3 linked regions of the Canis lupus familiaris genome follow. The protein of the gene in region 1 purifies or fractionates together with the protein of each later gene. This does not show direct contact. Links are inferred from orthologs where the notes say so. Each region holds a gene or a part of one and is shown in the gene's direction. Other genes may lie near its edges. The genes, in order: UBXN2A, PPP1R7 and PPP1R11.

The links.
Region 2: the proteins of UBXN2A (region 1) and PPP1R7 purify together in Homo sapiens (affinity purification with mass spectrometry; 3 studies listed by BioGRID and IntAct, counting the BioPlex papers as one, with this or other methods). This does not show direct contact. The link is inferred for Canis lupus familiaris from reciprocal best matches to the Homo sapiens genes UBXN2A and PPP1R7.
Region 3: the proteins of UBXN2A (region 1) and PPP1R11 purify together in Homo sapiens (affinity purification with mass spectrometry; 3 studies listed by BioGRID and IntAct, counting the BioPlex papers as one, with this or other methods). This does not show direct contact. The link is inferred for Canis lupus familiaris from reciprocal best matches to the Homo sapiens genes UBXN2A and PPP1R11.

Annotation. Positions count from the first base shown.
Region 1 is NC_049238.1:18,538,902-18,542,530, forward strand, and holds part of UBXN2A (UBX domain-containing protein 2A), read left to right. Parts: intron 1-2,021; coding exon 2,022-2,180; intron 2,181-3,629. UniProt on the Homo sapiens protein: Acts to repress the ubiquitination and subsequent endoplasmic reticulum-associated degradation of CHRNA3 by the STUB1-VCP-UBXN2A complex in cortical neurons.
Region 2 is NC_049246.1:51,237,975-51,242,100, forward strand, and holds the start of PPP1R7 (protein phosphatase 1 regulatory subunit 7), read left to right. Parts: upstream 1-1,256; 5' UTR 1,257-1,359; coding exon 1,360-1,411; intron 1,412-3,367; exon of another isoform or gene 3,368-3,429; intron 3,430-3,844; coding exon 3,845-3,985; intron 3,986-4,126. UniProt on the Homo sapiens protein: Regulatory subunit of protein phosphatase 1.
Region 3 is NC_049256.1:27,782,213-27,786,308, forward strand, and holds the start of PPP1R11 (E3 ubiquitin-protein ligase PPP1R11), read left to right. Parts: upstream 1-1,262; 5' UTR 1,263-1,492; coding exon 1,493-1,561; intron 1,562-1,743; exon of another isoform or gene 1,744-1,852; coding exon of another isoform or gene 1,853-1,873; intron 1,874-2,383; coding exon 2,384-2,492; intron 2,493-2,864; coding exon 2,865-3,067; 3' UTR 3,068-4,096. UniProt on the Homo sapiens protein: Atypical E3 ubiquitin-protein ligase which ubiquitinates TLR2 at 'Lys-754' leading to its degradation by the proteasome.

The DNA of each region.
Region 1 (3,629 bases):
TATTTACCTTAGTGTAAATTAACATATACTGACAGTACATTAAGAAATCATGGGGATCCCTGGGTGGCGCAGTGGTTTAGTGCCTGCCTTTGGCCCAGGGTGCGATCCTGGAGACCCGGGATCGAATCCCACATCGGGCTCCCGGTGCATGGAGCCTTCTTCTCCCTCTGCCTGTGTCTCTGCCTCTCTATCTCTCTCATGAATAAATAAATAAAATCTTTAAAATTTAAAAAAAAAAAAAAGAAGAAAAAGAAATCATGGAGTCTTTTTTGATGTAACCAAATTAAAAGGACCTAGATTATTGAGGACCTTAGGCAATTCATGGGCAAATCTTTTTTCTCCTTTGCACCCACTACGTGAGCATTGCCATTAATGTTACAGAGTACATATGCTAGCTTCTGAATATAGGGTACGTTTTATAATTACCAGTGCCTTCCACATTATATTCTGTGATAAGTATCTGAATTTGAAGTAATAAAAATGAAAAAATGAGTGATAAAGTTAGTATCCCTATCAAAGCCTTTAACTGTCAAATTTACAGTCTTCATCATATGTAAGTAGGTTAGGTTTTTTTTTTTCATTTTTTTAAAATTTTTATTTATTTATGATAGTCACACAGAGAGAGAGAGAGAGAAAGAGAGAGGCAGAGACATAGGCAGAGGGAGAAGCAGGCTCCATGCACCAGGAGCCCGATGTGGGATTCGATCCCAGGTCTCCAGGATCGGGCCCTGGGCCAAAGGCAGGCGCTAAACCACTGCGCCACCCAGGGATCCCTTTTTTTTCAGTTTTATTTATTTATGATAGAGAGAGAGAGAGGCAGAGACATAGGCAGAGGGAGAAGCAGGCTCCATGCACCGGGAGCCCGACGTGGGATTCGATCTCGGGTCTCCAGGATCGTGCCCTGGGCCAAAGGCGCCTAGGCGCCAAACCACTGTGCCACCCAGGGATCCCACGTTTTTTTTTTTCTAAGATTTTATTTATTTATTCATGAGAGACACATACACAGAGAGAGAGAGGCACAGACACAGGCAGAAGCAAGCTCCATGCAGGGAGCCCAACGTGGGACTTGATCCTGGGTCTCCAGGACCACACCCTGGGCTGAAGGTGACGCTAAACTGCTGAGCCAGCTGGGCTGCCCTCTAAGTAGGCTTTATGACAGTATACAAAGAGGTTAGATATGTGGTCAGTCTTATGAATTCTCATAGATTATCCAGATTGATAAAGATATCTGTATATTCATCCACACATATAAAATTATTCAGATGTGACTTTCAGAATAATCAGGATATACTTTGCTTCCTTCCCCCCCCCCCCCCCCGCTCCCCTTTCTAATACAAGAACTAATTTCTATAGAGAAATACAGGGCTCAGACTCAACTGAGCTATCCAGCACATTCCCCCCTGCCTTTTTTTTTCTTTTTTTTTTTTTTTCTTTTTATTTATGATAGTCACACACATAGAGAGAGAGAGAGAGAGAGGCAAAGACATAGGCAGAGGGAGAAGCAGGCTCCATGCACCGGAAGCCCGACATGGGATTCGATCCCGGGTCTCCAGGATCGCGCCCTGGGCCAAAGGCAGGCGCCAAACCGCTGCGCCACCCAGGGATCCCCTGCCTTTGTTTTCTTTCTGTTTTCTTGGCCTGTTTTTGTTTTTGAGAACTTCTAAATTCTTATAGAAATTTTAATCTGGGGAATAGTACATAAAGGTAAAGTTTACAGATATGTCAGCCCTATAAAATTGTCTATTCTGTAAGACATTATTTGAATAATTACTCACAATATGTTTACATAGCACTCTACAGTCTTACAAGTTACTTGGATATGTATAATTTCATTAGGTGCCTACATTCATCATATATGATGGACATAAGTAATATTATATCTTTGTGTTTTTATTGAGCTGTGACTTAATAAAATCTTCCTAAAAGGTATACTTAATGTAAAAGTTTTATAGTAATTGTTCAGTGATTAAGTTCTGCTTAATAACGATATTCATCTAACTTTGTTGTCTGGCTTTTCTTAGTGCCACACCAAAAATTGTTTCTAAGTCAAAGAGTATTGAAGTTGAGAATAAAAATAATTTGTCTGTTGTTCAACTAAACAACCTGGAACCCATCACTAATGTACAGATCTGGTTAGCCAATGGAAAAAGGATTGTCCAAAAATTTAACATTTCTCATAGGTGAGTCTTCCATTTCATTATTTGTCTGAATTTTTTCATGTTTAAATTTCTTTTCAGGTCATTCAGCAGTTTTTAAGAATTAACCAAGAATCTACCAGTTCTCTAAACATAATATATCTTGATAGTAGAAATTTTGGAAATTAATGAAGTATTTTCAGTTTGTTTTAGGATTATCATTTTTATCATTTGATTGGTTTTCCTGTATAACTAGATACATAATTTTTATTTTATTTAAGATTTATTTATTTATTTTTAGGGGGTCCCTGGAGAGAGAGAGAGAGAATCTCTTAGGACATACTAAAAATAATTACTTTATGGGGCACCTGGGTGGCTTAGTTGGTTAAGTGTCTGCCTTCGGCCTCAGGTCATGATCCCAGGGTCATGAAATCGAGTGCTGCATCGGGCTCCTTGCTCAGAGGGGAGCCTGCTTCTCCCTCTGCCTCTGCCTTCTGCTTCCCCTGCTTGTGCGTGGGCTCTCTCTCTCTCACTCTCTCTCTCTCTCTGTCTCTGTCAAATAAATTTTTCAAATCTTAAAAATAATAATTCTTTTAAAATTACATATCTAGGGCAGCCCGAGTGGCTCAGCGGTTTAGCACCACCTTCGGCCCAGGACGTGATCCTGGAGATCCGGGATCGAGTCCCACCGTTGGGCTCCCATGGAGCATGCTTCTCCCTCTGCCTGTGTCTCTGCTTCTCTCTCTTTTTCTCTCTCTGTGTCTGTCTCTCAGGAAAAAATAAATAAAATCTTTAAAAAAAAAATTATATATCTAAGGGGCTCCTGGGATTGAGCCTTGTTTTGGGCTCTCTGCTCAGTGGGAAGTCTGCTTTTCCCTCTCCCTCTGCCCTTCTCTCTGCTCATGCTCTCACGTGCTCTCTCTCTCTCTCTCAAATAAATAAAATCTTTAACAAGAAAAAGATTCTCTCTCCCCCTCTTCTTCTGCCCCCCCTTTACTACACACACACACACACACATATATACACTAACCCAGAATATATACCAGTATATTTATGTGCCTTTACTTGATCATCTCTTTCTTTTTGTGCAAGAAGTGCTGTATTCTGAATGTTGTGTTAATGATTTTTCTTTTATTTATTATTTTATTAAGTACATATGTATATTAGAAAATACTGAGTTGCTTTGCTCATTTTCAAATAATTAGTTTAGATTTTTTTATTTTTAAGATTTTATTTATTTGTTCATGAGAGACACAGAGAGGGGCAGAGACACAGGTAGAGGGAGAAGCAGGCTCCATGCAGGGAGCCCGATATGGGACTTGATCCCAGAACTCCAGGATCACGCCCTGAGCCAAAGGCAGACGCTGAACTGCTGAGCCACCCAGGCATCCCTCGTTTAGATTGTAAAGCAGTCATAAATAGGGCTCCTGGGTGGCTCAGTCAGTTAAGTGTCTGGCTTTTGGTTTCTGCTCAGGGTATAGTTTCAGAGTCATG
Region 2 (4,126 bases), on another chromosome or scaffold:
CTTCCCGCAGGAGACGGGGCAAGGACGCCTAGAGAACGCAGGCTGCCAGCTCCGGGCGGACTGTGCGCGGGCGCGGCCGGGCCCCGGGCACCCCTACACACACCCTCGTTCTCCCCGGGCCCCCCCCCCCACACACACACACGCGGGTCTCCCCGGGCCCCCTCCCCCTACACACACACACACACACACACACACACACACACACACACACCGGCCTCCCCCACACACGCGGGTCGCCCCGGGTCCCGGGCCAGGGCACCGCAAACGGCCGCAAGGTGGCAGCGGGCCCCCCCGGGCGGAGCCGCACGGAGGGGACGCGGGGGGCGCGGGGCTCCCGGGCTCGTCCGCCGGCCGCCTCCCCCGGGGCAGGCATCCATCTCACCTGCGGCCCGCCTGGGCCAAGCCGCCAAATTCGCCTCGCCGCGCGGGGAGGGGCTGATCGGCCGCACCGGCCAATCGCAGAACGACTCGCGTCGATGGACAGGCGCCGCGAGCCAACCAGTAGCGCCTGTGGGCGGGACTCCGCGAGCCGGCGCCCAGAAGCCCGCGCTAACGGTTGCTAGGGACGCACCGGTCTCCCCTTACGGCGCCCCGGAGGAGCCAAAAGAGACGGCGCCCCCGCCCACCGGGTCTGACCAACTCGGCAGCTCTGGTCTCCGAATCCGGAAGGGTGAGCGGCGCGGGGCTCCCCGTCTGCAGCCCGGGAGGCGGGGGGCGCGGGGAGGCTCCCTCAGCGGCGGGGCCGGCGGAGGCTGCGGCCCGCAACGATGGGCGACGTCCCGGACCCCGACGGGCGCCCCCCCGCCGGCGGGCGGCCCCGGCTCCGACCCCGGCTCCAGCGCGGGCGCCCTGCGCGGAGCGTTAACCGGAGGCAGCCGCCGCTCACGGACTGAGTCCGCGCAGCGACGTCGGGACGAAGTCAGCCGCGGTGCAGACGCAGCGGCGGAGCCCGGAGGGGCCGGCACGCACTCGGGGGACCCGCACGGTGCAGCCCCACGCGGAGACCCTGCACGAGCCCGCGCGCCCCCAGCATCTCCCAGGCGCTTCCCTCCGCTTGCCTGCAGCCACGGTCCCGTGCGTCTTGCTCCTCCCCGCTGCTCGCCTCCGGACGCCTCCGGACGCCTGCGGTGCGCGCTCAGACTACCTGTCCCGGGGAGGTGAGGCGGGCTGCTCCCGCGGCGGGGGCCCTCATGGCCTGCCCCGTGAACTACAATTCCCATGAGACACTGGGGCCGCGCAAGCGCGTCGGGGTTCAAGCCTGGCGTGGGAGCCCATTGGCTGAGCTGGCGCCGAGCCGGGAGCCCTGATTGGCCGAGGGGCCTGAGGCCACAGATTCCGGAAAGGGGAAGAGCAGCCAACATGGCGGCGGAACGCGGCGCGGGCCAGCAACAGTCGCAGGAGATGATGGAGGGTGAGCGGCTCCGCGGGGCGGCGGCCCGAGGGCCCGGGCGGGCGGGGGGCGGCGGCCCGCAGCGGCCTCGCCTGAGAGAAGCGGGCCGTCCGGGCTGCGGCTGCCGCTCCGGCTCGGGCCCCGCCGCGCGCGCTGACAGCTGCCGGCTCGGGGGCAGGGGCAGGGGCAGGGGCAGGGGCGGCCCCGGCCCCGGGGACCCGGCAGAGGCTGCAGCGGCCGGGAGGGCGCGGGCGGCGGGGCGCGGACGGGCGGCGGGGCCGGGTACGCCGGGCGTGCTGCTGGCGGGCGCCGCGCCCCGAACCTCCGAGCCCGGCAGCTCCTGGGGAAACTGAGGCGCGCGGCGGCGCGGAGGGAAGGGCTGGGCGGGAGCCGAGCGGCCCGGGCCCTCTGGCCCCAAGACGCTAAATCCGACCCTTTAGCTCCGTTGGAAAAAAATAATAATGATCCGCACGTGGTGCCCGCGTCGGCGGCCTGGGCGGGGGTCCCGGTCGGGGCAGCCCCTCACCCGGGCGCCAAGTGCCGGGAGGAAGGGGGGGCCCGGGCACCTGCACACGGGGCCGGGGGAGGACGGAGGCAAGGACCGTGGAGGGAAGCGGCCAAGAGTGACCGCCCGGTCGGAGGAGGGCGGCAGGGGAAGGCCGGGGCGGCCCCGCGAGGGGCTGGGTGTTTGGCAGCCAGGAGACAGCCCTCGCTCCGTCCGCCGCACGTCGCCCTTTCGGAGTCTGGGTGAATGGCACGTGCAAAAGCCAAGTGATTCCGTCCCCGGCCCGGCCCGGCCGTCCCCACCCATCCCGTTACCCAGCAAGCTCCCTAGCACGTCCTGGCATCTCCAGGTCTTCAGTGCCTCCTCCGTTCCCACTGCCCATGCTGTGGGCCAGCCCCTTGCTCCCGGGATCCCGAAACTGCACCATAATTGGATCCGCTGCCCCAGCTGCGGACCGTCTGCTGCCTGCAGGGTGGTCCCGCGTTGCACTTTGGCCTCCCGTCGTCAGGCGGAGTCCCTGCCGCCCTGGGCACAGCCACACTATGCCCAGTGGAAGGCGCCCTCCCTTAGCCTCGGCCACAGAGTGCCCCGTGCGTGGTAGCAGCTAACTGCCGAGTGTTTAGTGCGGGTCATGCACATGCCGACTGCCCCGGAGGCTTTTCTGCGTTAGTCCGGACAGCACCTCTGGTCTGTGGGGCCTGTCCCAGCCCCCTGGTTACAGATGCAGAGAGCGAGGCTTGGGAAAGCCAACAGCCTGTTGGCACCGGGTCTCTAAGGGCAACGTGAAATCTTCAGCAGGAGCCCCCGGCATTCCAGAAACCTGTAGAGTCAGAGCTCAGATTCGGATGTTAGAATCGCATCAGATGCTCTGGGAATGCAGAATAGATGAGACAAAGCCCAAAAAAAAGCCACAGAGAGACCAGTTAGGAGGCCAGGAGGGAGCCCAGGCAGTCGCCAGAGGGGGGCAGAAGCAATGGATTTGGCGGTTTGGGAGGCGGAGTTCATAAGGACTTGGTTTTATCCAGCAGTCGCTTCCCAGGCGCGCTTTTCTCGGCCCAGGAGGAGGTACAGAGAAGAAGTAAAACTACTTTTCCCCCAAAGAGTGCACCCCTTTGTGGACGAGGCGTAGCAAGGATGATTGAGGACTCCCAGGGATTTATTCCTGTTTCAGCTCTTTGAGACAGACTGCCAATGGAGACGATGAAAAAAGTCTGGAGAAGGGAAGATTATTTGACGGTCTTAGCAAAGAAATTTTGCCAGTCTGCCACGTTTAGTCATTGCCTTATCTATCAATTCAGAAAGTACTTATTTACCAGCCTTTCAAAGCAGTTAGCTGGTATCACTGTGTGCTGATGTTTGGCATCGGTGACCTTTATGTGGGGCGTTTGGCGCTACTGGCTGTCTTCGCCTTTTTCATTACAGCCCCCCCCTCTGCCCACAGTCTGATTTGAGTTAGTCTTGATTTCTTTCAGAACGTGGGCCTGTGAACTGGGCTGGTTTTCTTGGCCAAATGGATAGTGGAGCGTGGATGAAGGTATGTGGTGGAAGGGTCACACTGGTCCCCTCTACGTGGACATCCAGGCCAAAAGCAAGCCGCACAGGAGGCGTTCACTGTGTGTCACCCATTAGTACCTGGTCACAAATGACCCAGGGCTTTCAGAACACCTGGTAATGCTTCACAGTGTCCTCGAGGGCAGGAATAGTAGCTGCTCATCTCAGTACCCGCGTGTCCTTCCCGCTCTGCCCTCCCACACACAAATTGTCCCCAGCACCGTGCACCTCAGGTGGCGCCCAAGACGCGGAAGACACTCAAATGTTTGTCGAGCTGACTTCAACCGATGTTTTTCAATGAAGTCTTTTTGACTTACAGCTGGATGTCCGTCTGTTAAATGTTCCTCGGGGAGTCACGTAAAGTGGCTGTGAATTCTTACGGATGTGTGTGGGCTCAGTTGACAGGCGGGTCGAGTCTGAAGAATCTGGCGATGAGGAAGGGAAGAAGCAGAGCAGCGGTATAGTGGCCGACCTCAGTGAGCAGAGCCTGAAGGATGGAGAGGAGCAGGGAGAAGAGGACCCAGAAGGTACCAGGCCCAGTTAAGAGCCTTCAACTCTCTAAGGGGGGAGGGTGCAGCCGTGTGGTGCATGATCTGCTCTGCCCCACCCCACCGCCTTGGGTGGTGGGCAGGCCAGGGCAGTGGGGGCTGCTCTGGGCAGTGGGACGACTGCTGTGCGAG
Region 3 (4,096 bases), on another chromosome or scaffold:
ATGACTAAATGTATTTGGTTCCTGAGTTTAGGGAAACAAAGCAGGAGCCCAGATGCTGGGAGATAAGCAGATAACGTAACCAGATGTGTCTGACGTGTGAGCTGGAACAAGGAGAAGTCTGATACTAAGGTTTACCAGTATATGCTGAACACATTGGACATTTTGAAAATTGTATTTTTTTATTGCTGTTGACATAAATGTATATTCATTGTGATAAATTCATATATGGAAAGGTAGAGTAAAAAATGACAAGGAATCCTACTTCAGAGAGATACTTTTTTTTTTTTTTTTAAATGGGCTTTACTACGAATACAAGTTGTATCTTGCTTTTTATCACATTGAACGAAATTTTGTAGTCCGGCCACAATAAACATTCAAACTTAGTTTGGAGTCAATTTTTGCATTCCTTGGCTTGCACACTGCCCGGTCCTTTGTGTGTTCTGAGCTCTGAGACTTTCCCTGAGGTGTCTGAGCCCCGGGCGACGTAGTGGGAACTGATGGGACGGGCAGGGCGGACTTCCCTGACCACTTCTGTTAACAGGCATCGTCCAGAGTCTCCTCCCCGGTTGCTGCCGGATGCCACCGCCGGCGGCGGCCCTCACCCCTCCCGCCGCGGCTGGTGCAGGCTCCCCAAGCTTTCCCTGCAGAACCTCATGCCTGCAGCACGCACCTGGCCTCACCCGCACCTGCCAACCAGGCCCCTTTGGCCATCTCTGCCCGACAAAAAGGCAGGTGCTCCGTGGACCGCAGCTCGGCCTCTGCTGTCGGTAGCTCTTGCGGGCCACTCGGTAGCGGATTTCACCGCCACGCCCCGCAGCCTCGCTCACGTCAGCATCTCAGAGCCCGCACGTTATTCCTACACCCACGAGGCCCCCAGAGGACTGCGGGAGGCCGAGGAGGGGGAGGGGGATTCCCGGCGGCGCCTAAGGGAGCCCAGCCCTGACCTGGCGCTTGCACCTGCTGGAGCTCCGGGGCCGGTGCTCCAGTCCGGGACCAGGCGCCGCGCGGCGGGGGTCCCGGCGCCCGCACCACGCACCTGGGTAACCGCATCCCATACCCTGCGCCCAGCCAGGGACCTGCGCCCCGCCCCCGCGGCCCTCGGGGACCGCGCTCCCGCCGGGTCTCGGGCCGCGCCTGCGCAACGTCCGCTCCCCGCAGCGTCGCCTTCTCTGCGGGCTGCGGCACCTGCTCACCGTCACGTGACGGGAGAACTAGTCCGGCGGCGCATGCGTCCGGAGACCTTCGGCGCCAGGAAGGGACGGCGACGGCGGAGTGCGTCACACCCGGAAGCGGCGAGCCGGAAGTGGAGCTGGGCAGGTTACCCCGGGGGGAAGCGGAGGCCGAGGAGGAGGGGCCGAGGCGCTGGAGGGTCCTGGCTGCTCCTCCGAATCCGATCCCGATCCCGATCCCGGTCCGGTCGTCTTAGAGCTCGGAGACACCGGGAAGGCCGCTTCCTGCCCCGCCGCCCTCTGCCCTCTCCGCAGCCTCAGCCATGGCCGAGGCAGGAGCCGGGCTGAGTGAGACCGTCACGGAGACCACCGTTACCGTGACAACTGAGCCCGTGAGAAAGGCGGGGGACGGTGGCGCCCGCGGCGGGGACGGGGACGGGCCGGGGGCGGGGGCGGGGCGGGGTCAGGGCTGCGGAGGGGGCGGGCGGGGGGGGGGGGCGTGCTGGGGACTCGGAGCTGGCGCGGGAGCCTAGGGGGACCCCGGGGGCAGGGCCCAGCGGTGGTTCCGTTGCAGAAGGCGCACCACAGGCTCAGAGTCGGGGCGGGGGACCCCGGGGCGCCCCCTGGGTCGGGAAGCACCTGACGGACGGCCGCCCGTGAGCGCCCCTCGAGGACACCAGGGCATGATGTGGGAGTCCGAAGAGGTGCAGCTCGGGACCGGAGTGCGCTGGGCTGCACGCCTTGTTGAGGGCCCTGGCAGGACCGGGGCGGGGGCTGGGTGCACGGGTGCGGGCGCAAGCCCGGGAGGGTCCGGGGATCCTCACAGTGAGCCGCAGGTGAAGGTTAGGTCCTGGGCGCTGAGAAAATCCTCCTCGAGCATTAGTCACACCGAGGCCGATGTGGGGAGGAGGATGGAGAGACGGAGAGGGTTGAGCTTTCCCTGGAAGATGTGCGGGGACCCTCCTAGGTTAGTTGTGTTTTCTCTGTCCACGAAGCTGGGATGGACACAGAATATGAAGCGGCAGAATTCCCCAGGGACCCGGAGGTCACACACTTGTGCGCTACCCCACCTGCGCCGGGCCCCTCTGCCACCCTGGGTGGGGCCTGATGGACTGGGGTGGGGGGTGCTGGGAGACATGACCCCCCAGGGAGGGATGAGGAAGGGACGGCCAGAGGGGACCAGATGGCTATGTCTGTCTTTCCCCACCTTCCAGGAGAACCGGAGCCTGACCATCAAACTGCGGAAACGGAAGCCAGAGAAGAAGGTAGAATGGACGAGTGACACTGTGGACAATGAGCACATGGGGCGCCGCTCATCCAAATGTGAGTGCTCACTGCCCTGCTGCCCATCCCCACCCCACCACCCAGCTCTGGGTGGGGGAGCCCAGGTGCCTCCTCTGTGCCCCCACCCCTCTTGGCCTTCCTTCTCACACCTGACCACCCTGAGGCCCCCAGCTGCTAACAGCCTTGTCACAGCCTGGGTGGTTCTCTGGCTTCGGGGACATGGATTAAGGTTATAGGGGAGACATGGAAGTGCCTGGGATTGGCAGGTTTGTGTGCCTGAGCCCCAGGGGCAGCGGGGCTAGAGAAGCTGGACCCTGGAAGGAGAAGGAGCCAGTGCTGACACCCAATAGGAGTACAACTGATTATATGTTAACTGGTGCTCCTTTCCTGGCCTCCTCCCTCCGAATCCAGGTTGCTGTATTTACGAGAAACCTCGGGCCTTTGGCGAGAGCTCCACTGAGAGTGATGAGGAGGAAGAGGAAGGCTGTGGTCATACACACTGTGTTCGGGGCCACCGCAAAGGACAGCGTCGTACAACCCCAGGACCAAGCCCCACCAGCCCTCCGCAGCCTCCTGACCCCTCCCAGCCCCCTCCAGGGCCAATGCAGCACTAAATTCCTCTCTCCCCCACCACTCCTGTGTTTGTCTGGCCCTGACTGTATTCATGTGGCTACCTGGGGACTAAACCCACATGGTTTGATCCCTCTCCAGCCCTTCTCCCTGCTCCTCTGCCTGACGGAGGGAAGATAGGAGGGTCCACAGAGATCCTGGAATTCTAACTTGCTGCTATTCCAGAGCCCAGACTTTTGGGTTCCCCCAGCCCTCGTTTCTCCTTCCAGTATTCATCCTCTGCTCTCCAGGGATTCAGGCGTCACGGTCCTCGTCTCTCCCCTTCGTTCTCACTGCCAAACTACCTGTCCTAGGATCCAATTATCGTGTGTGGCCCCTTGCATTCTTTCCTGGAGTCCCAAACGCTGAAATGGGGTTTTCAGCTGCCCCGGCTTTCACTGCCAGGGTCCCTGTCAGATTGGGGGCAGTGTTCCCCAGCTATGCCTGTTAATCCTGGCTCAGAGTTCTTCCAGTTACATATTTATATCACCCGAAGTCCTCGTCCTTACCTGTGGGATCCAAGGTCTCCCAGGAGACCTGAGGGCTCCCGGCAAGCTCCCGACCCTTCCCCTCTCCTGTCCTCCTCCCTCATGCCCTCCAGAGGAGCTGAGGGAGAGAGGTCTGTGCTTTCTCATCTTTAATGGGAGATGTAAAAGGAAACAGGTATGGCCTCTTCTCACCCTTCTCATAAGATAAAGGATTGCCAACACTTGAAGACTGGTCACTTAGAGCCAACAATCTCCTCCGTCTTCTGGCATCAGAGACCAATCCTACACAGTCCCAGGGCCCTGGGTCCCTGAGAGAGGAAAGAAAATGCAGGGAGCACAGAGAAGGGGCATGTCCCAGACAGTACCCTCATCCTCCTGCCTTCCAAAGCCCAGATGTCCAGCTCTCTGCCCTTCCCACTCCTTACTGGGATCTTGACATTTTCTAGGCCTCTGTGCCATGCACAGTTGCAGAGATGAGTCAAATCCATACCACCACTGAGATCTCATTTATTGCCACAGATGCACAAAATAAATAACCCAACATCA